Tamandua tetradactyla: one gene and its partners. The protein of the gene in region 1 interacts with the protein of each later gene in a biochemical or structural test. Links are inferred from orthologs where the notes say so. Each region holds a gene or a part of one and is shown in the gene's direction. Other genes may lie near its edges. The genes, in order: SNAP25, STX3 and CPLX1.

Region 1 (9,258 bases):
TCTTCTTTTTGACTTAGAGTGCAGCAACTTTTGTGGTGGAGAATCAGGACATGTTCCGTGGACATATGGCACTCCCAGGGGGGTTGTGTGGGGCTCAGGGAAATGTCCAGCTTAACCTGCTGGGGCCACAATTTTGCTGCTTCAACCCATCTGCTATGGAAAATGAGGAGCCAACAAGGAAGGAAGAAACAGAGGTGAAGTCATCTGATAAAGAAAACTTTAAGAAGTAGAAAAAGTATGGAAGGAGTGGTACACAGTGTCAAATGAACCCAGAAGTTAAGATGAAAACTCCAATGAATATGACTGAGAGATCATTGATGCTAATCACTGAGGTACTGGCCTGTATCTTGCCCAGCCTGGTGCCTGTTAACTGACAGAACTGTCCTGCCCCTCCCTGCCAGTACCAATCAAATAGTCCGAGGTATCCTTCCTCCATTCCCACCATATCCTGTATCATTTACCTCATCCCAGCTCAACTTGAGCCTCACTCTAGATTTCTTGGCTCATGAAATCAACCCCTGTTTAAGATCTTATATCATCCTCTCATAGCTAGTCGTCCATTTTGGTGTTCTCTTATGACTTCTGGTTGACCCTCTCAAGTATATTTTGAGTCCATCTTCTGACCCAATTCTTATTTAAGCTGCTTCTTAGACACTGACCTTTGAATTCACCCCTTTACTGTCCTTCTGCACTGTCTGCCTTTGAATACATTGTTTGTTTGCTGCAGATACCACCCTACCTGCCTAAACATATCCTTGGAACTCATCTCAACCAAACCAGTGGTCAGTGCTGCATGGACTCATCCCATTAGCAAAGGGGACCCTGAAGCTGCTATTGAAAAAGATATGCATGAACCACAGTATGATGAGGCAGAGAGGTTTGCTCTAGAGGGATGGACTAAAGTCTGATGCGGCCAGAAGAGCCTGTGATAAAGCACGGTGATTATGAGCCTGGGGTTCACATCTTACTTGTAACATGATTAGCTGTGATCTTGGTCAGTTATTTGACCTCTCTAAACCTCAATTCCCTCCTCTGTTTTACTTGGACCACAATATATTCCAGATCCAAGCACATGGTAAGTATTTCAGTATTGAGCAAATGAATGAATTAATACAGAAGAAAGGAAAACCCAGAGGGATTAAATGATATGCATCTAGTTAGCAACTAATGAACTCAGTCCCTCCATAGTATAGCAACAATTAGAGAAATTTAAAACCTTATCAAATTGATAGATTTACTTTATTTAACCAATATTTCATAGTACTCAACAAGTGCCAGACATAATTTTAAGTGCTAAGCACTTTCCCTGTAAGTTGGGTATAATTATTATCCTGATTTTGCCTATAATAAAACAGAGGTATAGTGAAGTTATGGAAATTATTAAGATGCTTAAAAGGTTTGCTGAAAGAGTACTGTAATCCCTTTCAAATAGCCTTTTTGAAGTTTGCTAATTTTGACTACCATTTCCCCATTCCCTTCTGCCTGTGATTGTTACACGTCTCCCCACGTGACCGCGTCTCAGAATTAGGGGGAGGGATGTGTTATGGAACAGGCCTCTGACTGGAGACCACTCCCCTCCTTTCCACAACACTGTTCTTAGTAAAGGACAAAATGGTATTTAAAATTCTAAGCATGCGGACTTATTGTACCTCAACATGGCAAGCCAGAAACAGAAAGCAATATCCCTGGCTCTCCTTCTACCTCTCACAAGACACGTCCCTATCTCAGAGGCTCCAGGAAACAGCCACAGCCTGGAGAGTTTAGACCTGGGGCATTTTAGCTTTCCCAAGTTACTATTAGGTCATGAGCTGTGAGTGGGGCAGGAACTGGGGTAACAGCTACAAGAATATGTAAAGAGAAAGTGACAAACACATCACGTGAAAAGCAAACCAAGGAATCAAAACAGTTGATCTGTCAAGCTGTGTATTCTCAAGCCCTCGTCTCATGCCCTCAGGGTGATCTGATACATTTTTCAGAGTGCCAGGTGTACCCCAAGGAGGAATTTGGGGGGATTGGTTTTGAGTTGGGTTAGTTCTAAACTACTCCCAAGTTGACTTTGGGTTTATATGGTATTTCATAAAATCTTATATTGTATTATCCTTCCCAGGTTGTAACTTTTGAGTCAACTATAAATTTTGCACCTCAGTAAAGAGAATACAAGCTAAATACTCTGGATCGGAAGCCATTACAAACCAGAACACCTCGGGGCCTGGTGTACCAGAAAACACCTTCAGAGACTGAATTAGCATAGTGTAAATATCCATCCTACAGAGCAGGTAATTTTCTCTTTCCTCATGGAATGAGTTCCTAAGCATTAGCTACTTTACATTTGAGTTATAGAAATAACTCACAGGCAGCTGAATCATTTTGGAACAAATTTTCTATCACCTTCCTTCTCTGTTATTCAGGCTTTTATAGACTCTGAGCAAAATGAATCTGCTGGTTGTCCTACTGTCAAAAATGACTGTAAATGTTTTTTTTTTCTTTTTCCTTTTTCTTTGTTTTTTTTTTAATCAAGCAACGAGAAAACCCTAAAGGGAAAACCTCATTATCATATTCAAAATGCATTTTAGGCTATCCATTCATCCTTAGTAGAATTTTTAGCTCCAAATGGACCTAAATGTCCAGTATTTATGTTTCTCTGCTGTCTTTTCCAGAGCGAGAGGAAGAACCTCTCAAATGGCATCCTTTTCAACACCAGCAGAGGGGAATGGAAAATGCTGTCACCACTGCAAAATAATCCTGTAGGGCCTGTGCCTTTCTGTGATGCTCTGAATCTGTCTGGCTCTCATCTTATCTGTAATTTTTTAAGACGTCAGCTTGGGGCAGCAGCAGTTGAAAACTCAGAACACATGGCCAGTCCTTCCCCAGTTGCCTTCCATATAGCTTCTGCCTGCAGGATAAGCTCCCCTCACTGACATAGTTACTTTTTTACTTTTTTTTTTTAATCCGGAAAATACCCTGTCCCCCACCCCCACCCCTGCCCCATTCCTTCACAAAACTTGCTGCCTGAATGACTTCTGATCTGAGAGCCCTACACATATTCTGTTTCTCCCCACTGCAGATCTGCCTCCTGCCTACCCCACCCCCAACGTCTACATGCTGCCTTTTTTGTGGGTGTCACATTTTGGAAAAAATCCTAACTATAAAAGATTTTGCAGTGCCATTGCATTTGTCACCACTTCTCCCATCCCATTCCTACTTGCTGTACCACGAAATTAAGAATCATAAGTAGGAGAGTTTTATTGGCAATTAACTATCTAAGGACTATACGGATTTTGATTTTCCTCTTCTTTATTGTATAAGAATCTTAAATGTTTAATAAATATTTAAGTAAACAAATTTCAGTAACGTGCCTTGTTTTAGGACTCCAACTTTAATAAAAATCCAAACAGCATTGGTTAATTATTATTGCAAAGATTAATATTTTGAAATACCTTTTTGGTCAGAGAATCTTTAGGAAACAATGACATCTACTCATTTAAATTAACGGCTTTCTTTCAAAATTCTTACAGCTTTGCTTCCTCTGACCAGTCCCTTTACGCCTCTTTTTACTCCTCTCGCAGGGTCTGCATGTCTCTCTCTCTCCTTGTGTGTCTCTCTCTCCAACACGTGCAATTAAAAGGCTTATAATTGTTTATGCTTGGAATGTGTGTGTGTGTAGGTGTAGGTGTATGCTGGGGTGGGGGACGTTTTATTGTGTGTCATTTTTCGGGACCTAGCTCTGAATGGCTTCTTCTAAAGCAGACAAGGATTTTCCATCGTCTAAAAGAGGCCATCAAGTTTTAACATTGCAAGGCACGACTTCTAATCGCATCCTTCCTGGAAAAGTACAAACAGTTCCTCAGCCGAAGTCCCCCACCTCCCACGCGCTCCCCAGCTCGCCCTCCCCGCGGAGAGCCCCACAACAACCTCCCCAACACCTGTGAATCATCGGAGAGGCTGCCACCGCGGAGCCATTTGCATACCCACCCCCTGTCGCCCCACCCCCACCCCAGCTCTCCCTGGTCGCCTAGTGCACAAGGGAGGAAGTATTATTGCTTTATGCTTATTATTTTAATCTCTCAGATGACCAGGAAAACTATCGTTTCTTGCCCACGTCCTGTTGCGAACATCATAAGTCCCCCAAATCAGCCTCTACTCTGACCCAGGGTTCGCGCATCGAGAGAATCACTAGAACTTCATCGCGTCCAACCCACCCTGGATCCTGCAGTCCTCCACCTTCCCCCGGAAGTCTGGACGGTCCTATACGTGCCTCCGAGGGCTGTTCTGAAGACACCCAACGCACAACCTCAGGACCCGATTGCAAATTCAAGCGAAAGCAGCGTCATCTGTTTTGCCCTCGGTAAACAACGCTACTCGGAGCCTCGAGCCCTTGCAAACCCACGCTGGTTGGGTTAACGACCCTTCGCTCCCCTCTCCCCCAGCTCCTTTGATATCTCTGGGAGATAATTGCTCTGACGTCCGTTCAAATAACGTGCGCGAGTCTGTCTTCCCAGCTGACCACATTAATACGAACTCCAAGCCCTGGGTGCTGCTTTGATAAAATGAACAAATCACTCATAAAAATAGTAACCCACGTAGCCTGGCCATATATGGAGCTGGCGAGGGTTGACAGGGATGCCCCTTCGGACCCTCTTCTTTGGGGAAAACTAATCGCTGCTGAAATCGAGCTCCCCCAGCGTCCCTCCCCGCCGCCACCACCTCCCTCTCCGCCTCCTCGGTCTTCCCCTCCTCCTTCCATGACTCAACTCAGCGGGGAGAATAAAGTATGCACCCCGCCCCCCACACACACACACATGGATATATAGACATAATATACATACAGGATGCAACATGTACACACAACATGCATATGTTAGCACACATATACAAACACACGTGTATGACACTAGAAAAACAGTCGTCAGATTAATGTGTTTTCCCGAGACGGTGTATTAAAATGCAGCCATAAGGATAGCCCCGTTTCAGAGTTTGTACGGGACTAAAATACAAAGGTTTCAGTAACGCTCACCGGGAGCTGAGTCAAGCGCTCGGCGCCTACCGGCTGCTCGCGTCCCACCCGCAGCCTCCGCCCTCCCTCCGCCCTCCCCGCCGCAGACTTCCTCCCGCCCCTGGAGGCGACGGCTATTAAAAGCTGCTGACGTCAAGAGGGACGGCCATCTTTGATGAGGGCAGAGCTCACGTTGCATTGAAGACGAAACCTCGGGGAGGTCAGGCTCTGTCTCGCCTTCCCTCCCTGCTCGGCGGCTCCTGCACACTCGCAACCTGCTGGGATCCGGCGAACACTACCCTCCCGGGAAGCCCAGGTAAGAAGCCCCCTCCCCGGGCCCCGGTGCTGACTCTGAGAGGTTGCATTCCCAAAGAGGACCGCAGCTGGGCAGACCTAGTGGCCTTGGGCAGTACAAGTATTTGTGCGCCTGGGGCGCGGTGTTCCGTGTGTGCGCGCCTGGCTGGACTCCCGCCTGGGGCTTTATAAAGTGTTTTTGAGGTGGGCTGCTTGTGGAAGGGATGAATGGGGCTACTGCGGATGGAGCGATGGGAGGGAAACGTAAGGATACGATCCAAATAATAACTTACTCTTTTAAAACTGTGGTGGGACCCTTTCTCTCTTCCATTTTGCGACGCAGTTTTCAGAGGTGTTTAGGCTGATGTTGTGTTGTTGTTGTTGTTGCTTCTGTAGACAAAAAGAAAAGAAAAAAAAATCTGTTCTTCTAACCCTGTTATTATGACTTGCCTTTAGCGTGCTATTATCCAGTGCAGAATTGAGGGAAAGGCAGGTTGTGGGCGTTGGGGAGGCGAAAGGAGGGGAAGGGGGAGAGTTCCCGTCCGGGGCAAGCTGAGCTGAGGCAGCGACAGCAGCCTCCTTGCCCCCACAGACTTGATTCATGCCTCCTGCCCCACGTCAACTGCAGCCTGGCGGGAGGCGGGCGGTTTGTGCCGGGTGGGAGGGCTCTGCGGAGAGCTGGCGGGGATGGGATGGCCTCGGGGACTGCGACGGCCCTCACTCAGCACCCTGGACAGCGATACAAAGGCCCGCGCCGGCGCCCGTGACCTTTCAGCACCGCGGACAACGACCCGGCTTCAGAGGCAGAGGGGCCTGGATAGGATGTTCTGTGCCAGGGCTGCAGGACAGATTGCCGCTGTGAAACCTGGTCTCACAGAGACCCCTAATGAAGTATTTAAGAGCAGACGTAGTAGGTAAAAAAAAAAATAATAATAATAAATAAATCATGCCCGCAGGGACTCCTTTGCAGGCAATGCCTGCTTTCTCCAGATCTCCTGCTTAGCTTTAAAAAAAATAACAGTCTACTTTGTGGAAACCTTCTGTTGCCCTTTATTTTAGGTAGGAAATAAACACATTTCTTAAATCTGCGTTTACCTTTCTACCGGATGTCAAGATTTGGTTTGTTTTTATGTTAACACAGAGCACGTAATGCACTGCCTACAGATCTTGGGTGGGCATGAGTGGGATAAAAATGAAGATGTCAACATTATCTATTTATAGGAGTGATCTCTCCATATATATTTCTATTTAGCAAAAAATTGGGGATAGCTGAACTAAGCATAATTAACTTTAAGAATGAATCCCTCTTCCTCTTTCTCCCCCTACTCTTGTAATTATGTATGAGCACAAACACACAGCCACAAAACTATGTTTCTGAGAAATATTTACAGGTCGTAGAGTGTATAGATTTAACTCCTTTAGTTAAGGTTTTAGAGTTATTGGAAGTAAATATTTTCTAAGGACATTGGTTATCTCAGGCTGAAAGCTTCTGATTTGACAACATTAAGATTGGGCTTCCTCAGTTGAATCCAATTGTGCCCTTCAGGGTAATGCAGGTGAAAGAACCATGTTAGACTAAAACTGGACTCTGGCCTAAAATTCTACTGCAATTTCTATTGCAGCACTGCGGGATTTTGCCAAGGCGACGATAGGTACTTGAACCATTTTCTACTCTGAGGCTCGGAGCCTCTAAACCAGCAAAAATCATCATAATAATATTTTTTTCTCTGTTTGATATATATAAAGATTGCATAAAATGACAAGTAAAATTGTGCTTTTTGAGTAAATTAGAGTAACAGTTTCATATGTAAAAATATATGCGACGCGTTAAAAAAATGCCATTATGGTCCTCTAAAACGCCCCAAATTAAGATCTTGGAATGTTTTTAGCCAGTAATAATTCCAATCACGTGTATACTAGAGGTGCTAAAATGTCCATCTACATGGAAAAGGTATTTTTGCTCCCAGCTATTTATTTCCTAGTGATTTTCCTTTATATGGATAACTATATATTTCATATATGCATATGTTGACCTGTATGCATGGATGTAAAGTTATTTGGGTGGAAATTTATTTGAGTGTGTTACTGCGTAAAAGAAGTTCATAACTCTGCAATCTGCAGAAGAAATAAACAACAGTTTTTTAGTGATGAGAAGAGGGGAGAAAAGATGGGCAGGAGTATTAAAAAATGCTTTGACTTCATGCTGTATGTCCAGACAGCTTTCTGCGTAGTTACATCAAATAAAAAGCCTAATGCTGCTGGAATTACGTGCTTAGATATTAGTAATTACTGCTGGGTTTGTTTGCAAGTGGAAGATGGGGGTGAAGAGGGAGGTGGAGGAGGACTGCAGTGAAGCTGGCAAAAAGCACAGTGCTGGGGGGAAGAGGAGATGTGCACAATTATGGAGTTAATTCTAGGATAGCTTCCTTAGAAATTAAAGAAAATCATAACTGAAGCATGAACTCAAATTTATATTGTTGATAAACTTAAAAAAAATCAAGGGAGTTCCTATTTTAAATTTTAAAAGTCTGGGGGGCAAAACAGTGAAAAGAGGCAGGAACAGATAGGAACATTCATCTATACCCTCTGATGGTACCTGCTTATTTGCTTCTATTGGCATTTTCTGCATTATCCACCACAGGATTCAGACTACAAAATAATATCCAGTCTACCTAACGTCCCCATGCTGATACCTCTCAGGAATTCACAATTTTATTTTTACTTTGTTAAACACGCACAATCACCCATGCACACATCCAGTACAAGCTGTCCCTTAATTAGCTTGTCTAAAAACATTCCTAAGCCCCAAATGTTAACCCCAGAGTGGTGTTTATCAACTGAAAGATCTATGTTTCTGTCGGTGACACCTCTCTGTGTAGCATCTGGCCTTTAGCAAAACGTATAGGTTGTGAAGGATTAGCAGAAGAGAGAGAAGTAATTTGAGAGATTGAGAAAGGAGACATGGAGCTGAAAAATAGATAACTCTGATTTCTAGACAATGCATATGAACAAACTAGTTTTCTCACATTAAAGAAATTGCTTTACAATTTTATAAAGGTAAGAAAATTGAGTGTTTCATCCTCTGCATTGGATATGTTTCTGCAATGTCATCCCTTGTCACTAGGGACCAATCTGATAGGAAGATATTGATTAATCAGTGAGCACCAGACATATAAATGAACCCCATTGGGGATATAAACATTCCTGGTTATATGGTCTTTGGCCTCAAGAAGTTTAACATCTAGTAATTTTAATAAAAAAATAACAAAATTGAAAAATGAATAAAAACCCAATATAACAATAGAAGAAAATCATGATGACATACATAATTAATTGCCAAGTGAATGTAATAAAAGAACTTGAACTGGCTTGTGGAGGTTGGAGAGAGGTGGGGAAGTTCTGCTAAGTAAAAGTGGCAGTATAAGCAGAATCTCAAGTTTGGCAAGACCAAGGTGTGGTCAGCAAACCCTGAAAATGCTCATCCATTTGGTTGGTGCAGAGATCTTGTATGGGAGAATATACTAGAACTGGAGTCAGAGCCTGCTATGGAAGGTTTTGAATGCCAAGAGGAGGATTTGATACTTTATCCTCAAACTAAAGTTGATTTCTGAGCAGAAGCTGATATTACAAAGTAACCATGTCTTTTTAGATATCCAGGAATTGCTATTGACAGGGTAGATCAGATTTGTGTTATTTCAGAAACAGAGGAGAACAAATTGGTATCATAGGGGATGATTAATTTAAAAAAAAAATAATAATCAGTCCTCATGTATATAAGATCATTCTTCACCCATAACTACATGGACATATAAGCCCTGCCCAGAAGTTAATTATGACTTTGTTGACTAAAATAAATTATTCAAGATGTGCATGTGCCAGAGAGACTGAAAAACAGGTTAGGAATCTGGTGTTAAGAAGTCACCAGACATCACACTTGAATAGCAAGCACCGTGCAGGATGCAGGCTTCTGC
Region 2 (9,838 bases), on another chromosome or scaffold:
TGTAAGAATATGTTTTTCAGGGGGTACATACAGCTTCAAACAAACACACAAGGCTCTTTCCACCAGTGCTTTTTCCTTTAGAGTTCCAGGGCTTCAGGAGTTTGTGGAAAAATCAAAACAAATTTATGGTGTAAGTTATTTATAGTTAGATAACAAGCATTCCTATATAATATATGGAGATTGTTAGGAAAATATCTGGACAATATGTTATATCTTTATAAGTAAGTGTATTATTTAAAATACTCAACTCAGCAATGCAAAGTTCATCATTTAAATCACGTGGAGTTACAAATTGCGTTTTGTCTTAAAAGCCAAGATCCAGGAAGGCTCTTCTTTCCCTTTTAGGGAGAGGAGAGGAAGACTCCCCGTATGTGTATATGTATGCATGTATGTGTGTGTTTGTAGTCAATTCTTTTTTGATTTATTCTCCAAATATTTGCAACGCAAGTACATCATGGCAGCCCTGGATATTCGAGGGTAAATAATACCTGGTCATTGCTCTCAAGCAGTTCATCAGCCAGGGAGACCAATGGAAAAGAGCAACGTACGAGACAACATAGAGTGTGCTTGAATAAGAGATCTGGACAGGTACCAAGGGGCAGAGGCTGAGAAGGCTAGCTGGGTGAACTGGGGAGGTCTTCATCTTGAAGGAGGAGTGGAAATTTGCCAGACGTGAAACGTTAGGGCAGAGGTAGATAGGAAATCATGAAAGGGCACTCTAGGTTCAGGGAAGAGGTGAGACTTGTTGAGGCTGATGGTGAGGCTCTGTTGTGACAGGGAGTGACACAGGAGTGAGGTTGGGAAGGGAGAAGGTGGACAGATTGGGGAAAGCCTTGGGCATCATTCTAAGAAGACTATGGTCTCCCTACTCATAATGAGAAGGCATTGATGGGTTATAATCAGAAGAAAAATGTAAATGGAGCTATTCTAGTTTGCTAGCTGCCAGAACGCAATATACCAGAAATGGAACAGCTTTTAAAAGGGGGAATTTATTAAGTTGAGAGTTTACAGTTCTAACACCATGAAAATGTCCCAATTAAAGCAAGTCTATAATGATGTCCAAATTAAGGCATCAAAATAAGTTACCTTTATTCAAGAAAGGCTGATGAAGTTCAGGGTTTCTCTCTCAACTGTAAAGGCACATGGCAAACATGGCGACATCTGCTAGCTTTCTCTCCAGGCTTCTTGTTTCATGAAGCTCTCCCGGGGGTATTTTCTTTCTTCCTCTCCAAAGGCCTCTAGTTGCATGGACTCTGTGTCTTGTGGCTCTCCTGGTTCTTATGGTTCTGAAACTTTCCCCAAAATGTTTCCTCTTTAAAGGATTCTAGCAAACTAATTAAGACCCACCTGCTTGGAGTCACAGCTCCCTCTAAGCAAAGGTTAATACCCACAATTAGGTGCATCTCATCTCCTTGGAGATAATCTAATAAAAAGATCCCAAACTGCATTATTGAATAGGGATTAAAAGAAATGGTTGCTTCCACAAGATAAATTAGAATTAAAACATGGCTTTTCTAGGGTACATAATCCTTTCAAATGGGCATAGGAACCACAGTACCAGAGGATTCCTTTAATAAAATGTGATAACCATTTACTGAATGTCCCTGTGGTCAGGTCTGGGTCCATATCAGTGGACAAAGTGGACAACGCTGATGCCCTCACAGAGCTCACAGATAGTGGGACAGGCAAACAAGTGGCCAGGTAGGGGCTATGATGGAGAAGTTCAGATTCTCCTAGGGGCATGTTTGAGGGACATTTAACTAAATCCTGGAAGATGAGGTGCTTCCCAAAGGAAGCATCTCTTCTGAGGCCTGGAGAATTGGTAGAAGTTGTCCATGTCAGATATAGGGAAGAAAAGAGCTCTAAGTAGGTAGAATTGAATAACACTGTCATAGTGAGGGATTTTAACTGTGTGCCAGGCACCACTGAGTTGGTTCCCAGTCTTCATGACCTATGTTATCCCCTCCTTTAGAGTGTCCACTGGACCTAGTGATACTTCTAAGGAATATAATATGAAAAAAGTGATGAGGCATCACGTCTGAGATTAAATTACAAGAAGACTTTGTCCTCCATCTGTCTCTCTCTCTCTCTCTTTCACCTACTTGCTCTGATGGAAGCCAGCTGCTATATTGTGAGCTTCCCTGTGGAGAGGCCCACATAGCAAGGAACCAAGAGAAGTCTCCTGCCAATAGCCAGTTGAGTGAGCTGAGAAGCAGATGCTTTCCCAGTTGAGCCTTCAGATAAAACAGCAGCCCCAGCCAACACCTTAATTGTAGGTTTGTGAAAGACCCTGAGGCAGAGGCTCCCAGCTAAGTGCCATCTGGATTCCCGAGTCACAGAAACTGTGATATAATAAAAGTTGGTTGTTTGGAGTTGCTAAGTTATAGGGCAATTTGTTATGCAGCAATAGATAACTAATACAAACTATACAGTGGAAAAAACCACAAATCAGTAAATTATTCTTCATCCTTATAGTTCTCCATTCTCCCTGCAATGGGGGAAGAGTTGCTGTAAAGAGAGAGAAAAGATCTTCTCCTTCAATTCTGCCACTCCTTTTATCTATGGCTACTGAATGCCACACCCTAGAGACAGGGTCTCAAGGCAGACCAGTCAGAAAGTGGTATCACCTGTTCTACAGCAAGCTGAGGAGCCTTACAGCAAAATGGGGTAAGGTTCAGCTCTCCTCTCCAGTGGGAAAGAAAGAGCCTAAGAGTCAGGAGAGAGAGAGAGAGGAAAGTGGACCCCATAAAACCAAGGATTCTCTCTTTGGTTTGTATATCAAGGCAAACTTAAGTGTTGGCTGATTTATTTATAACAAAAATGCAAATCCTTGAATTGTTTAATGGGGAAACCTTTATGCTAGGACCTAGCAGGTGGGAAACCAAGTACCATCGGGGGAATAAAAATGAAAATACATCAGAAAGAAGGGGCTCAAACTCCTACTGAACCTGGAGCCTTCAATTACTGTCTGCCTACCTGGAGACCCTATGGTCCACTGGGGTTTCATATCAGAGTTTTCCTCACCATCCCATGGACCCAGCCCTCCCCTAGGTACCTTGTCCAGAGAGTTATGTGGATTTCTTCAGTTTCTTGTACACAACTGGCAGGTGAAATCCATAATTCTGTCTATGAGGGATGAGCAAATATTAATATAAAATTAATGAAATATAGTTTGTGCTTAATTGAAGTTTTAAAAGGAGTCTTGAAGTCTGTAATAATGACCTTCAAATAGAAGAACAAAATAAGGGAATTCTGCTTGTGAGTCCCTTCCTGGGTTTCTGAATTCCAATCGCAGTTAAGAAGGGTCTCTATGCTCTTTCAGTGTTAAATAATTTCAAGGGAAATCATACAATCATTTCTGTTAAGGCTGCATAAGCTCACCAATAAGTCATAGAAACATCCTCTCATAGGAAACCATATTCCAATAAGTCATAGAAACATCCTCTCATAGGAAACCATATTCCTTATTACCGAATACAAATATTTTGTTAGGGACACAGACTCTTTCAAAACAAGAGATCCAGGCATGAAAATAAAGAATATACAATGTTCTTGATTCTGATAAGTTAGGGAACTGCTAATTTTGGTCAGGTCCTTTATTTGACAGATAAGGAAATGGATGGTGTGATGTCAAGGGACAGGTATTTTGTGGCAGAGCTGATTTCAAAACTCATGGATTTGTGTTCACCAATTGTTCTACTGCCCCACAGTCCCTCACCTTTCATGCAAAGGCCATCTTGTGGAGGAAAGGTTAAGTTTCTTAAATTTCTGGACAAAGGAAAGGAGTATGAAATAATGGCAGAAGTTATAGAGAGGAAAATCCTGTTCTGGGTAACAAAGCACTTATTTTTTATTTATTTATTTTTTCACATGGGCAGGCTCCGGGAATCGAACTCTGGTCTCTGGCATGGCAGGTGAAAACTCTACCTGGTGATCCATTGTGGCACTGTCCAATAAAGTGCTTTTCAACAACAGTTGAAGCTGTTCAGTCATGGAAGGTACTATTTTGGGACTGTGTGAAAAAATTAAAAGAGAAAAAAATGGTTGCTAGGTGTTTTATGTCATGCCAGGTAAGTCTTGTCTAATGCACCTTTCTGGGTTATCTGATTTTATAATGATCTGTGCCTTTCATGTTGGTTTGTTTTTAGCTATTTTAAAACTCTGTTAGTTGTAGAAAACTGACAGTAATGCAAATAATTTTCGTTCATAGACATGCAAAAGAACTTTGTCTGCTGGAGGTGATATTGGTTTCCCCCCAGTCCCAGAAGCCAGTTTTGCTTTTATTAACACTCATTTCGGCATTCTTGATTGCCTACATTTGTTTTACTTTTTGGATGCTCCTCTTAACAAGTCTTTAACACCTCACTGGTTCTCTCATTAATTAATGAATTAAATAAAATCCTTGATGTGTATTCATTTCATATTTGTATGAGAGTTATGAGTTTACTCTTTCAAAACCAATTTTTTTGTTTATCTTTAACAGATAGCCTTGACGTTCATCCCTAGATGTGTCAAGCAGAAGCTGAAAGGCCACCCTTGATTTCAGTATCATATATTAACAAAAATTTAAGAGAAGGTGGAATACGCTTTCCGGTTTACTCACCTTTTCCTTTTATGACCACCAGGGGGCGGTAAACCTTCCACTTAAAATCTCCGGGAGAGCCACTAGCAAACACAAGGAAAGGCACAGGATGAACCAGGGAGGAGTGCTGAGACCCCCAGGGTCATTTCAGACAATCCGATCTGCCCTGCAGGCTGTGTCTTTGGTCTTTGTGGAAGGAGATGAAGTCATTCTGAGCACGCACTAAAATTGCAGAAGAGGGAAAACTCCTGTTAGAATTTCGATAATATATAAAACCTTTAAACCTGAATGCATAGAGCAGATCCTTTTCCAGACTTACGACTTAAATATTCTGTCCGTCAGCCCCATTTATTGAACTCCGGCGCTGTGCAGGGTATGTCATTTGTTTCCAAGACGACAAATAAGGAAGGAGGAAGTGGGTAGGAGAAGAAAAAGAGGGAGGGGCAGTGCGAAGAACCTCCCACCTTTTCAGAAGGAACAATCTATCTGAACAAATCTACATCACATAGAAAATGAGAATGGCTTCAGCTTTCCAATAACAAACATCTCCTCTAAGCTTTGCCAACCACATTCACTTTTTCTCACACAGGCTTCGCAGCAACTACGAAGTGGAAACGAATTTATAGATATGGAAACGAATCCCCTAGAGAAACAGAGGCTGTCCCAAAGTTATACGCTTGCTAGTGGTAGGTTCTCACTTCAACATTGAGCTGCTGAAATTTTCCCTGAAGGGTCCCGATCATCAACAGCATAAAATCCAAATTCCTTGCCCCAGCCGGACTCATCCCCCCTCATTTCCAGCTAACTCCTCTCGGAACACATTCTTTCAGCTCCAGCCGCCCCTCGGGACTGCTCACATTCCGGCTTCCGTGCCTTCGCAATCGCTGTTCCCTTTACTTGGAATGCCCTTCCCCACGGAATCGGTTGCTGCCTCTTGGACAGCCTCAACACAATTTCCTGTCACCTATCGTAGCACAAGAGGGACCAGAGTTCGTTGTCTACAGCTATAAGTCTTTCGAGGGCCCAAGTAGTCGCTTAATGGCTATCACAGAGAAAGGGACAGGCTCAGTCACTCTTCCTCGGCCCTGAGGCAGGATCCCCAGTGCCCGGTCCCTCGCAGGGCCGAGTTAGGGCAGGAGGACAGAGACAGTCCCGGCAGCGGCGGCGGGGCGCGGGCCCTTTAAGGAGGAGCGCGGGGCGTGGCCCAGGTAAGGGGCGGAGCGGGTGGGCGGGTCCGGGCCGCGCGCCGGAGCCCGCCGGGGAGCCGGATTTGGAGCTCCAGGCGCCGGCGGGGGCCGAGGGCGGCGCGGCGGAGCCACCGGAGGCCTCGGACGCTCCTCCTAGCCGGCGGCAGCAGCTACCCGCCTCCGCCTCCGGCTCTCTCGGCCCGGCCCGGCCGCCACTTCCGGCCGCTCACCAGGGACGCGCTTACCTGGGACGCGCTCACCTGGGACGCGCTCACCTGGGACGCGCTCACCTGTCGCCGGGCTCCGGGGCACCAGGATGAAGGACCGGCTGGAGCAGCTCAAGGCCGTGAGTCCCGCTGCACCCGGAATCACGCGGGCTGGGGGCTGCTTGGGGTGGGGGTTGCCCGGGGTGTGCGGGGGAAGGGAGGCTTCCCTTTGCTCCCCAAATCGAGGGTGGAGTGGGGGGGCCGGTGCAAGTCCTGTCCTTGCCAAGCCCCGGCCGCCTCCCGCGCCCGTTCCGCACCCCTCCCTTTCTCTTGCTCCCTCCCCTCCCGTCCCGGGTCATGTGCCGGGTGATTCAACTCTAGGCAGCGATTTTCCTGAAAACCTCTGGCCCCCTCACCCTCCAAGGAGGACTCTTGTCAGCCTCGAGCTGGGACCTGCTGCGGGGTGCTGGGCCTGGCGGGGATCCCGCTGAGGTCAGGGGTTCCCCTCTCCACCTGCGCGCTGCTGACTGCACCCACCTGGGGCCGGCCTCCTTCTACCTTCCTTCTTGTTTCCCTCCCGCCGGGCGCGAGCCCGGTACCCTTTCCCCTAGGGAGCGGGAAGCTGTGCGGAACTCGTGGGTGACCTCCTTCATTCTCCGGCCATCTTTAATTACCAATTTAACCTGCCTCCCTTGGGGCAGCTGTGGTCAGACCAAAGGATTTTAAAGTAGACCATCTCCAGCCCAGTTGCAAGAAAGATGTAAAACCTTAGGCTGCTTACCCCCTTTTTGTGCCTCTGTTTCCTTGCTTGTCTAATGGGGTTATCATACCCTAGAGTTTTGTTATGAGAATGAAGCTATGTGATGAGACTCCATATAGAGAAGTGATAATGCATGGGTTTGTGAATTACATATTCCCTGACTCATTCAGTAAATAATTATCGAGTGCCTTGACAGGCTCTCCCGCAATGGAACTCAAACTCCATCTACTTGGGAGTTTCTTAGAAATGCAGAAGCTCAAGCCCAACCTATACCTTCAGAACCAGAATCCACATAATTCACTAATCTCCTTGGGTGACGCATGAGCACATTCAAGTTTGGGAAACACTGGACTGGATATTGGAGAGAACTGGGGTTTCATCCTAGCTCTATTGCTGACTTGCTCTCCCTTAACCTCTGAGTCTGAAGTTTCCTCATCTGTAAAATGGGTATTTGTGAAACCACCTACAGCGAGCGCCCTTTGTACAGTGCACATAGGACTTAATAAGTGGTAAATATTACGCTAATAACTAAAAGCTCTTTGAAAAATTATAGATCTCATACAAGTGCTGGGAACCATTGGGTTGCTCTACAATTGTGTCATTCTTCCCCTTTGTCTTGGATAAGACCTTCATGACCGTTTCTCCTTCCCTGGGTGGTGAGGCTGTAGAGAAGGTGAGGGAGCTGGGGAAGTGAGAGAAGCAAAAGGACAGTTGCTTCTCATGGGAGTGAGCCTCCCTGCCTCAACACTTGCTCTTTGTCCTCTGAGCCTTACAACATCCTGGGTACGTAGACAGGGCAGAATTTATTGTTCCTGTTTATAGATGAGCAGATGGGAGCTTGGCCTGGGTAGGTCATGCCTTAGCCTACAGAGCTGGTCAGGACACAACCAGGAGAGGAACTCCATCTCCTAACTCTCCCCACAGAGTTCTTTCTTCTGAAGCTTGCTGGCTGGGGAGACAGGATGCAGAGAAGAGCATTGGTTTTGAAGATCTTCCCGTATCAGCATGCCCAGCAATAAAAAAAAAACAAAAACAAACAAACAAAAAACAGTACGAAACTGAACAGCAGGCGGAGGTGGCTCCTTTCCTTTAGTGAGGAAATCCTTTTCCAGAGGAAGATACTTTACAATGCCTTTCAATAGCCCATTGTCCACAAATAGCAAAGAGTCTTAACTGAGCTTTGAGTTCCAAGTATAAATTCAATTTGCTGGGGAACCCAAACAAATCCCCTTCCCTCTCTGCACCTTAATCTTACCCTCTATAAAAACAGAGCTAATGGCCTGTTTCCTCACTTTACCTCGGGGATGTTGTGAAAGTGAGATTGTAAGTGGGTGCTGCTGTCATGGGATGGTTGTTCTGAAATCATGGTGGCTTCTCTAGTGTTTTGGAGCAGGAAGAGGCGTGGCAGTGGAGTGAAAGAAGATGGGGTTGCAGGTTTAAGGGGTTCTAACTGTGGCTCCCCCACTTAATAGCTGTGGTCTTTTGTATCACTTTACCTCCCTGTTTCTTGAGTCCTCCCTTGTAAAGTAAGGAATTTGTTGATCTCAGAAGCCTAGCAATATTCGTGTTTCCTATGAAGAATATTGTTCGGGTTTGTGTCGATTTGGGTGTCTAGGCCCCCTCTTCTCACCTCCTCCTCCTGCCCGCCCTCCCCCTCATTTTCCCCAATAGGAGAGAAATTACCCTCACTGCAATAAGATATGCCATCTTTCTTATCTGATTTCTGTTATCAACGAAAAGCATTTGTTAACCCCCATGAAATAAATTGCACATTGAGCAGCCTTTGCAATCTGTTTCTGCAGAGATCTTTCTAAACCCTCAGTGAAGGGAGGTACTAACTGCTTTCAGATAACTGGAGAGCTGCCATGTGCTGTCATGAGATTAACTTTGCTTTGTGTAGATACAAGGAGAAGATGTGGGGTTGATGGTTTAAAAACAGAACTCAGTGTCAAAAAGCACTTTTGAGTAGTTGGAGCTGCTTCCCGTAGGGCCAGTTTGCTGAAGAGGTAGTGAGTCCCTCAGCATGGGAGAAAGACAAGGAACTTATTGGGTTGTTAGATTTTGAAGGAATTTGAGCATCTCTTTAGTGGAGGGGTGGACTAGGAGATTTAAGACTTCCCTCAACTCTTAAAATCTGAGGTTCTATAAAGTGCATCATTGTTTGTGACTCTGTCCTAAGCACTGTAAAAACACAAGTTTCTGGAATCCAGTAGGATTTAGGGCTTGGAGGTACAGCTGTAAAATATGGACTATCATACCTTACTCTTAGGGCCATTCTAGGGGTCGTAGTGGAAAATTCATGACAATTGCTTACCACTACAGGGAGGTTCAGTAAATGTGACTTTGAACTTGGCCCCTTGGCAGTCATGTCCATGCTGAGGATATAGTCACAAGACCTACTTAACTTATCTTGTGCTCTGTCCTCCTGGAAAACTTCTTCAGCAGTCTTCTTCAGTGATGTAGGACAGACTTACCAGGAATGTGTATTGCTTGCACCAGCCTATGTCGGGAGGAGATTCTTGTTAATTCTCCTCACTGGCTGAACTTTGGATCCACTGAGTCCAGACAATTCCTGATCCAGCGTCCTTTTGCCTGGCTCTTTTTTTTAGTCAGCAAGGATTTACTGAATACCTATAGTGCCCTAAGCTTTGCGATAGGTGCTGGGATGTAGTGGTAAACTACTCAAGGAGTTCATGGTCAGTCATGGTCAGTAGAGAGACCCACAGGTATGCTGTGGTCCTTATGATGGAGACAACCATGGAAAGATCCAGTCTGCTGGCTTTGAGGAGATGAGGACAGGGCATTGAGGAGGCACCTGCCAGAAGTGATGCTTCAGTTCGGTCCTTCTTCAAGTCCCTGTTAAGATTCAAGTCTAATCTCTTCAGGTGCATGTATTCTTTCCTAAGACAAAAGGCAGAGATCCTGGAATTTCTCACCCACCTTCTGATCAATGAATGTGTCAGTCTACGTTACCTAAGAACATATAGAATGTGTAGGGGGCCTCACCAGAGATGCGTGAGTATGGCATCTACCACCCTGCTAGTCATTGTGCTAGGCAGAATTATTATCCAAAGTCCTGATCTTAAATAGTCCATAAAAAACA
Region 3 (10,072 bases), on another chromosome or scaffold:
TTTTTCACAATTAAAAAGAAAAACCAGTCATCGGCCATCAGACCACACAGCCTGCGTCAAGAGGGCCAAGTCCTTTGAGTTCACCCAGCTCCAGCAGCTGCCCCAGGCCTGCGGCAGCCCCCATCACTGCCTGCCAGGGGGCTGGAGTCTGAGGGCTGGGGCTGGAGTCTGGGGGCTGGGGCTGGAGTCTGGGGGCTGGGGCTGGGGCCTGGGGGCTGGGGCTGAGGCTGGGGCGGGGGCTGGGGCTAGAGTCTGGGGGCTGGGGCTGGAGTCTGGGGGCTGGGGCTGGAGTCTGGGGGCTGGGGCTGGGGCCTGGGGGCTGGGGCTGAGGCTGGGGTGGGGGCTGGAGTCTGGGGGCTGGGGCTGGGGGCTGGGGCTGGAGTCTGGGGGCTGGGGCTGGAGTCTGGGGGCTGGGGCTGGGGCCTGGGGGCTGGGGCTGGGGGCTGGGGCTGGAGTCTGGGGGCTGGGGCTAGAGTCTGGGGGCTGGGGCTGGAGTCTGGGGGCTGGGGCTGGGGCTGGGGTGGGGGCTGAGGCTGGGGTGGGGGCTGGGGCTGGAGTCTGGGGGCTGGGGCTGGGGGCTGGGGCTGGGGCGGGGACTGGGGCTGGGGCCTGGGGGCTGGGGCTGAGGCTGGGGCGGGGGCTGGGGCTGGAGTCTGGGGGCTGGGGCTGGGGGCTGGGGGCTGGGGCTGGAGTCTGGGGGCTGGGGGCTGGGGCTAGAGTCTGGGGGCTGGGACGGGTGCTGGGGCTAGGGCGGGGGCTGGGGCTACTACAGGGAGGGCAAAACTCACTATTTGCCACGACTTAAAGCCAGGTCAGCGTTCTCCAGAGTAACAGAACCAACAGGAGATATCTGTAAATATTATGAGATTTTATAAGTGCCCTACGCAACCGTGGGGATGCACAAATCCAAATTCCTTAGGGCAGGCTGCAAGCTGGCAGCTCTGAAGACAGTTTTGATGAATTCCCAGGAGAGGCTGCTGGCTGAGGTAGAGGTGCAAATTCTCTCTTCTGACTTAAGTCCTCTGCTCTCCTCCACATGCCCTCTACTGGTTGGGCGAAGTGGGTCTCATTGCTGAGGGCACCCACCTTAGCCAACTGCAGATGTCATTGGCCATGGAGCACCCAATTTACCGATGGTTTAAGTCCACGAAATGCCCTCAGAACGGGACAGCTGGGTGCCATGACCCGGCCGCGCTGACCCGTGGACCTGCCCTCACAGCAGCCTCTTCCTCCAGCGCTTCCCTGGGGGGCCTCGGGTGCTCCTGCCAGGTCGACAGTGGTTTCAGCTGAGGGACTGATACCTGGAGCTTCGTATTCTGCCGTCTTCCTGCAGTCCTACTTCCTTTTCTTTGGATATACTTATTTGCTTGTAAGATGGCAGGATTTAATTTTTTTTTTTTTGTATGCTGTATGGCGGGGCCACATTTCATTCTTTTTCCATAAGTATCCGATTATTGGCACACCATTTGTTGAATTTTTGTTTGGTTGATTTTTTGTTTGTTTTGCTTATTTGTGTTTTGGGAAGTGCCTGGGCCGGGGATCGATCGTGTCAGGAGGCGGCAGAAGAGGCTGAGTGCACAGCTGCTGCGAAGCCGCTCCTTGGCGGGTCCCCTCCCCATGCTTGCACCCCAATGGGGGTGGGCTCCGCTTCCTGGGGGGCACAGTCCTGCACTGCACCGAACTGCTGCTGGCCCCGTGCACGCTTCACTCAGCCATCTGCCCCGTCCCCCTGCACCCCTCATCCTTGGCCATCCAAGAACATGCTGCGGGGACCTAATCCCGCCACTGTGACCCTTCACCCCGACCCAGTCCGCAGTCACTCTGGCCACCACGCCGAGAGCAGACGGAGGTCCGGACCCGAGGATCCTGGGGGCCCCAGCCTGGCTGGGCTATGGCCCCTTTCCCGATACCCCACGGCTTCCCAACGGTGCCCCACGTGTCCTGAGGACAAACCAGCACCTCCTCCCACTCTCTCTATCCGGGACCCCTGCCCCTCTGCCAGGGACCCCTCCCCATAACATCCATCTCCCCAGTCTGCAGCTGTGCTTCTTGGGCCGGGGGGAATCTCAGTGGTCCATGGCTTCTGCGCTTGCGTGTGGGAGAGCCGTCCCCGCCCCCCCAGCCAGCACCCCTGGTGCACTGTCCCTGCCAGGAGCCGCCAGGCCCGGCTGCAGGACACCAGGGGCCACTCTGGACCTCACAGCTGGAGGGCCCTGGCCTCGGGGCAGGAGACCAGGAGCTGAGCCCTGGCGACCTAAGGAGCCCTGGGGACGCGTCGGGGGCATGGGGGACAGCAGGCAGCTGCTTCCCACCCCAGGTATCCAGGTCCTCGGGCCGCTCAGCGAGTCCTGAGACACGCCGCCAGGCCTGGCATGAGGGCATGTGCATTGCCTGGACACGTCACGCTGTGCATGCGCTCACCTTCTGGGGATGAGGGCCCTGTGGTGGGCGCGGCCACCGGCAGACGTGTTTGCTCCAGCGTGGAAGGGGCAGTCCTGCCTGGCTTCCTCTAGGGGAAAGTTTCCCCAGCGTGAGACCAGGCCAGAGAGGGTGCAGCTGGGGGGGGTGGGGCAGCTAGGAGTCAGGGGCGGCCCTGACCGCTGGCCCCCAGGCACGGACGCTGCCCAGATGCCAGAGATGCCCCCAGGAGTCCCTCAGGCCTGCAGCTGAAGCACGGCCTGCATAGGGCTGGCTCGGTACCCCCAAGTCCTGATGCCTCCGGGACAGCCTCCCACTACCCACCCGCCCTCCCTCCATCCTGCTCCGGCCGCCTCCACCCGTCCAGGGGCGTGCAGGCTGTCCCAGTGTGTCCCCATGCCTGCCCCAGCCCCCAGATCCCTGTAGCTCCCTCCCCAGGACCCCCGCCCCCTCCTCACCGGGTGGAGGCACAGAACCCCGCCCTCAGTCCCTGCAACCCCTGCTGTTTTTGCCTCCGGAGCGCAGGGGGAGCCTCACGGCTGTCCCCCACCTCGAGCAGCTCTGAAGGGCCGCACCCCAACTGCAGGCTCTGAGGTTAGAAAAGGCTGGGGGTGGAGGGCACCTGAGGGTACTGTGGGGTCAGGGCAAGTGGGCCCGGGGGACGTGGGGCCACAGTGGGCTGGGGGGTCCTCAGAGAGTCGGGGTGACAAGTGGGACCCCCGACCCTGGACCTGGAGGGGTGCAGGCAGGAGCAGGGCCTGGGCACCATGTCCATGGGGCGTCCCGTGGGGGAGGAGGAGGGGCAGGCGGTCACTGGTTTGCAGGGTCTGGGGTTGCTATGAGGTGGGCCACCTCCAGGAGCACCCCTTTGGGGAGATGAGGGGCCCCAGAGCCCAGGCATGGGCTCAGGGGCACAGGGGAGGCCGGGGCTGGTTCCCTCAGATCCACGGTGCGGGGCGGCAGAGCCTGGCAGGGACCCACCGGGGCCACGGGGCCAGTGGGCCGCACTCTGCTGCTGCCCGAGGTGTGGTCCTTGGCGGGTGGGGATTTGGGCCTTGCCATGCGCTGAGTCACCCCAAAAAGCAACAGTCTCAGCATCTACTGAGAAGTTCGGGGGCGTCTGCGTGCACCCTGGTCCCTGACAGGGCACGAGGACCCGGTTCTGCCCACCCTCCAGCTCTCCTGGCTCTGGGGACAGACCCCGTGGCCTGAGAGAGTGTGCTGGCAGCCTCTACTTGGTGGGGAGCAGAGGGGGGATGCCTGCAGCTGGAAGCCAGGCTTGGTCAGGGCCAGCGATGCAGCATGGGGTCACGGCCACCTGGCCCCTTGGGCGTGTGGACGCGGCAGGGCCTGGGGCCTCTGGGAGCAGGCAGGGGTCCCAGAGGAGCTGCCCTGCAGCCCTGCCCCACTCACCACAGGGACGCACTCCCAGGCATGACGGGTCCAGGTCTGTCCCCTCGCCCATGGGCACCGTCCACCCCCAGCAGGAGGGCAGATCCATCCCCACGGATGAGAGGTGCTGAGCAGCAGTCCCCTCCTGCCGTGGGGGTGCCCCTGTGTGGGCTGTAGTGGGGACTTGGGGGGTGGGGCTTCAAAGCTGGCCCCCTGAGCCCCTGGAGCAGCTGTGCCCAAGGTGATGCCGAGTGAGGGTCTCCCAGCCGTGCCTGGCAGACCCCAACCCCCATCGTGGCCTTGCTGACCCCCAGTTGTCTCCCTCCCAGCCCCAGCACCCCCACAGGAGCCCAGCCGCTCTGCACCCTCCACTCTCCTGAGGCTGCCCCCTGCCCTGCTCTCTTCCGGACACTCCCCACTCCCCTGCCCACACCTCAGACTGCTGCCTCCTTGGCTGCCCCAGGCCTGGCTCTCACCTTGTCTGGCTCCCCGGGGAGCGTCAGTGCCCTGGCTGAGGCCCAGCGCTCTCAGGGCCTGGAATGCTGTCAGTGCTGGAGAAGCCCTGGGGGTGGACGGCTGTGGAGAGGATGATGACAGAGAGACAGACACAGAGGTTGACAGGGAGCAGGGCAGGGGGCCTGGGGTCCGACCCTGGTGACGGGTGCCATTGGCGGGAGGAGGGGGCAGCACTCAGTCCAGCCCAGCCTGTGGGTTTCAGGGAGACCCCAGAGCCCTGTCCCTGGGGCCCACCCAGCCCAGGGGCAGCTGAGGCTGTGGGGCGTTGACCTTGAAACATTCACGATTTCCCAGAGTAGGGCCATCCTTTCTCTGCAGACGGTCCCCTGCCTGCCATAGCTGACCCCAGGCTTGGGGATGTCCGGGTGGGAGTGGAGGTAGGTGTGGGGTGGGTTCTGCTGCCCAGGACCCCTGGGGCACCCTGATGGATGGGGCTGAGGGGAGGGGCATCTAGGAGAGTGAGGGGTGTTCTTCCCAGGCAGGGCGAGGGGCTGCAGCTGCAGGGTCCATGACTCAGCCGGAAAGGGCCACTGACCGCTTTGAGCCGTGGCCGCTGGAGGCCACCCCCAGAGGCTCCCGGCCGCGCGGAAGCTGGAGCAGTGCGCGGGGCGGGCACGTCTGGCTGCACAGGAGGCGGGAGAGGCCGCCCCCCTCCCCGCAGTGCAGAGGCAATCCTGGGACTTCGCGAAGGGGGCGGCCGCCGCGGAGGTGCGGGTCAGCAGTGCGGCCCCCTCTGCGGAGCGGACCCCGGCCTGGCCCGGAAGGGGCTCGGGTCCCGCACTGAGCGCCCGGGTCCGCAGTGACCTTCACACGTCCCCGCCCGCGTTGGGGCCGCCAGCCCTGCGCATCCCGGCCCCGGCCGCTGCTCCGCCCCCCACACCCCCGGCGCGCGCGGGAGCTGTGGGGTCTCCCGCGGGCTTTCTCGGGGGTCTCTCGGCCTCTGTCCCGCTAAAATGAAACTCGCGTGCTTTCTGCGACCCTGTTCCACTGAGAAACAGACCGGGGCAACTCCGCAGCGCCTCTCCCCGCAAGAGGGTGCGGGCGGGTTGGCGAGTCTGGGCTTCCCTCCCCCAGGCCGCAGTGCGAGGAGGGCCGGGGTCGCGGCGGAGCCGGGGACAGGGGACACCACGGTCACCGCCCGCGCCGGGAAAAGCCGTCCCGGCGGGCCGGGGTCGAGGAAACTGGGGGGGTGGGCGCGCGCAGTGGCCCCCAGGGCCCTCCCGTTCTGGCCGGACACGCAAGGACTCTGGCACCACGCGCGCTCTCGAAGTAGCTCGCACGCGGGGAGGGCCGGGGTGGGGGCCGATCCGTGAGGAGGGTCTTGACTGGGGGCGGGGGGGCGGGTCCGAAAGCTCCGCCCCGGATCGCGCGACGGCTGCCGGCCGAGGGGAGGGACCGCGGCTCCCCCGCTCCCGCCCCGCCCCGCCGGAGCCCCTCCCCTCCTCGTCATGCTCGGCCGCGGGCGGGGGGCGGGGAGCGCCTCGGAGTGACGCGCCCTCCTCGCGGTGCCCTTCAACCGCAGCCGCAATTCCCGCGGCGCCACATGGACCCCGCCGGGCTGAGCGCGCTCCGCCGCTGACCGCCGGGCCCCGGGCAGGTAACCGCGTTCACCGTCCTGCCCGCACCCGTCCTCGGCTTCCCCCCCCCACCGACCTCTTCTCCACCCCGGCCCCGGCCGCGCTCCTGCCCCGGCTCCCCGCACCCGGCCCCGGCCGCGCTCCAGGCCCGGCTCCCCGCACCCGGGCTCCCCCACCCCGGCTCCCCGCACCCCGTCTCCCCCACCCGGGCTCCCCCACCCCGGCTCCCCGCACCCCGGCTTCCCGCACCTCGGAGGCTCGGACTCGGGCGCTGTCCGCCGCGGCGGTGCTGAAGCGGCCCGCCGGGTCCGAGCCCGCCCGCGCCCTCCTTCGGGTCTTTGTTGCTCCTTCTCTTCAGCTTCTTCTCTGCGATCCCCTCCCCTCTCTTGCTCTCTCTTTCTCTTTCTCTTTCCAGCCGCGCTCCCGCCTGAGGGTCGCTGGGCAGACCCCGGCAACTAACCCGCAGGGCCAAGAGATGCGGTGAAAGGAGCCCCGTCCCCGCGTGGGGCGGGAGTTGGGTCACTAGGGGTGTCTCGGGTTCCTGCGGGGAGGTCTGCAGCACCCCGGGGCTCTCCGCGGCTGGGCTCTGCGGCTCCCTCCTTCCCTCCCTGGGAGCCGGGGGAGAAGTTTGGGAGAGAACCTGCTTTGCGGCAAAGGCGCCCCTGGGCGTTGCGCCTTGCGGAGCCCCACTCGCTGGCCGGGCCTCGCTCCCGAAGCCCGCGCAGACGGGTCTCCGTCTGCAGAGGGAAAAGCAACAAAACAGTGGATCTCCAGGGGTCCGAAATTTCCTGCCCTGAGAGACCCCACAAGGCAGGGGGTGGGGGTGGGGGAGGCTGCAGCTGCTGAGATTTTACAGGAAGTGTAACCCCGCTGGAGTTCCAGCTGGCCTTGGCTCCAGGAGGGCACCCTGGCGCGCCCCACCCCATGCAGAGGTGGGGTTGGTCCTCCCCCTCCCGGTAGGGTGGGCCCCTGCGGCCCCTCCTCCTCTCCACACCAGTCCTGGCCACTGCGGTTGGAGTGGGCTCTGGAGTCTCTCCCGGGTTAGAGCCCTGTAGAAGCCACAGGGGCCCCCTAAGGAGCATCCCCCCTCAGCCCACCCACCCTAACCCTTCCACCCTCCCATGGTCGTACCCCAGCCCCCTTGGCCCCTCACCCGCCCAGACTACCGCAGTGGCGGGATACTGAGTCACCTTCACATGCCCCGGGGCTCCACCCTGGTTCTGCAGCTGGCACAGGTCCGAGCCACCCCCCCCCAAGCTGTGAGTGCTGCTCCTTCCCCTCAGCCGCCGCCCAGAGCTGACCCCAGAAGCCCCTGTGGCTGGAAGACCCCTTTGCAGGGCCAGCGGGGGACCTGGGACTGCCTGCCTTGGTCAGTGTGTAGGGACAGACCCACAGGAACTCTCGAGAGACTCACAGGGGCTCCCTCCAGTGCAGGGGACCCCCCCTACTTGGGGTGGGGAGCAAACAGTGTTCTCTCTGATCCCCAGACCCCCACTCAGGAGAAGCCTTTGCAGATAAGAGGAGGCACTGTGCATCCCACACAGAGACCCCTAAGCTTGGTGGGGTCACCTGTGACCACTGTGCTCTCCCACAGGCTCAAAGGTCCTCCGTCCACACTCGCATGTGAATTCTGACCCTTGGAGGAGCCGCTGAGGACTCAAAGCCATCGTCATGGAGTTCGTGATGAAGCAGGCCCTGGGAGGTAGGGAGTGGGGGCAGCAGGGGGCCAGGGGACCCCTTACACCCACGCTGCCCTCTGGACAGAGCCAAAGGGAGGGGCCCCAAGGCTGGCGCTGGCACCCGGTGCCTTCTGAGTGTCCTTTGCCACCATGGGGTGTGTGTGGGAGGACCAGGAGGCGGGGCAGGGGCACGCAGCAGGCAGCCCGTCCTGCTTGAGCAGCAACAACCTACTCGGTGTGCCAAGGGCTCCTCGGAGTGCGCTTGGGGCACCAGGGCCCAACCCTAACTGGTGGGCAGGGGCTCCACTCCTCCTGAACCATGCCATGGGTGGGAGGTGCTGCTGGCTGCTCGGCAAAGGTGGGGGCCCGAGCCCAGAGGCCACGGGAGAGGCCAGGGTGACCCCGGCCCCTGCTGAGGAGTTGTGCAGCTTCTTTCGGATGTTTGGGGGTAGGGGGCAGGTCCGAACATGCTGCCTCCTTTTCTGGAGGGGCTCCTGTCCCTGCTTGGTGCCAGGCTGTCATCATGGCCGGAGACCCTGTCTCAATACTGGAAGTACTGGGGGCATGGAGATGAGCAGGAACGCGGGTTGAGGGGCTGGCACAGATGTGCCCTGGCAGAGCAGTGCAGTCAGCCCAGGCCCCCCAGTGGCTTGAGGCTGTCCTGAGTGGGTGGAAGGTCCGTGCAGAACAACCCATTCTGCATTCTGCCCACCCCGCTGCTGCAGCCCGAGGTGCCCGGCCAGTGCTCGATGCTATGTTAAAGGTGCCTTCCTCGGTACAGCTCCCTCCTGAAACTGGTGTCATTCATGCTCTAGTGAGAATTAGGTGACATGGGCTCAAGGCCTCTCGTGGTGCTGCCTTCAGTGGGAGGGGTCTGGGATTCTTCGTCAGAGAAAGGGACCCGGCTGGGGCTGTCGTGCCAGAGCTGAGGGGAAGGGACAGGCTAGGTTGGCAGGAGCCACTGTTACCCCCGCCTCCCCCCTCCATCCTCCTATCACCCGGGGAAGGAGCTACCACCATGGATTTGTCTTGTGGAGAACGGCTCCATTTCCGCTCTCCCCAAATTGAATCACGAGATTCGAGGGCCCAGGGCCTTTCCAGAGGTCCCTGGTCAAGGGCAGACAGGGCCGGTCTAATTATAATGATTACGTCAGCGGGATGGCTGCAGGCCGGGTGGCACCCTGGCGCGGGGGTGGGGGGGGGTGGGGGGGACGAGTTCCACCTAGTGGTTCCCAGGCTGTTACAGATAATTAATTAGGTGGCTAATTCAGACCCTGAGGTGGGTTTTTAAGAAAACTGAAATATCTGATTTGGCTGTCTACATGGCTGAAATTAGCTGGGTAATTGCCAGTCTGGCTTCCCTCATTGTGCCGTGTCAGCCCAAAGTTTTTCCTGCAGCAGCGTCGGGGCGGCTGTGCTGAGCGCTGGGGGCCCCGCGTGGGGGCGGCCACCTGCCCCCTAGTGCGCAGCGGGAGGGGGGCCGCAAGCGTCAGAGCCCCGAGACCGAGGCTCTGGGAGAAGCAGTTCCAGAGCCCCACATGGGGGCGAGGGACCAGGCATCCGTCCAGAGGAGTCACGGGAAGCGGGGACACGGCTTCCAGGGCTCCAGGGCGTTGCAGAGGGAGGAGGGTGTGAGAGAGCTGGGGGTGCAAACGGTGTGGTAGAGACCGAGTGACAAAGAGAAAGTAGAGAAGGAAGTGACAGACAGCCAGAGACGGAGAAAGAGAGAATGAGAGGGAAAGAACGGACTGGGGGAAGAGTCGGGGCCAGCCCCGTGCACATCCCCAAAGGGAGGGAGGGGTCAGGGAGCACAGCGGGAGCCCCCCAGCCCTCTGCAGACAGCCCTGAGGTCAGGCCCGGGTGTGGCCAAGGGGGCAACCTCTGGGCACCTTTCTCTCCTGTCCCCGATGCTCTCGGCAAGGCCTCGGGACTGCCTGGTCGGGATCCCGAACTAGACAGACAGACACAGGCTCCCAAGGGCATGGTTTTTTCCGCAGGGACAGTAGAAGCTGAAGATTTGGCTTTGTGCATTCTGGGGACACGCCACGGAAGCCTAGCATGTCAGGAGCCCTAGAACAGGAGAGGACATTGGGGCTGGACCTCCGGCTCCGCCTCAGGGAGCAGAGCACTCAGCTCACTGCCTTACACACACCAGTGCACATGAGGGTGCTAGTGCACACTCACCGTGCTGATGCATGCTCAGTGTTGGTGCACACTCACCATGCTGAAGCACGCTCACCATGCTGATGCACACTCAGTGTTGGTGCACGCTCACCGTGCTGAAGCATGCTCAGTGCCGTGCATGCTCACCGTGCTGATGCACACTCAGGGTGCCGGTGCACACTCCATGTGTGGGGCTGCCCAGGCACTGGGCTGCTGTGAGTCAGGGCAGCATTTTCAGACTGTGGGAAGATTGGGAAGCATTTTCCCTGGGAGGGGCTGAGCCAGGGCACTTTCATGGGCATCTCTATGGGCATCTCCTTGGTATCT

The links.
Region 2: the proteins of SNAP25 (region 1) and STX3 form a complex in vitro, tested with the Homo sapiens proteins (2 studies listed by BioGRID). The link is inferred for Tamandua tetradactyla from reciprocal best matches to the Homo sapiens genes SNAP25 and STX3.
Region 3: the proteins of SNAP25 (region 1) and CPLX1 are reported together in a solved structure, tested with the Homo sapiens proteins (2 studies listed by BioGRID, with this or other methods). The link is inferred for Tamandua tetradactyla from reciprocal best matches to the Homo sapiens genes SNAP25 and CPLX1.

What each region holds. Positions count from the first base shown.
Region 1 is NC_135327.1:50,602,572-50,611,829, reverse strand, and holds the start of SNAP25 (synaptosomal-associated protein 25), read left to right. Parts: upstream 1-5,180; 5' UTR 5,181-5,309; intron 5,310-9,258.
Region 2 is NC_135335.1:15,515,053-15,524,890, forward strand, and holds the start of STX3 (syntaxin-3), read left to right. Parts: upstream 1-5,874; 5' UTR 5,875-6,085; coding exon 6,086-6,115; intron 6,116-9,838. UniProt on the Homo sapiens protein: Potentially involved in docking of synaptic vesicles at presynaptic active zones. Apical receptor involved in membrane fusion of apical vesicles.
Region 3 is NC_135345.1:414,650-424,721, reverse strand, and holds the start of CPLX1 (complexin-1), read left to right. Parts: upstream 1-5,816; 5' UTR 5,817-5,923; intron 5,924-7,497; 5' UTR 7,498-7,574; coding exon 7,575-7,605; intron 7,606-10,072. UniProt on the Homo sapiens protein: Positively regulates a late step in exocytosis of various cytoplasmic vesicles, such as synaptic vesicles and other secretory vesicles.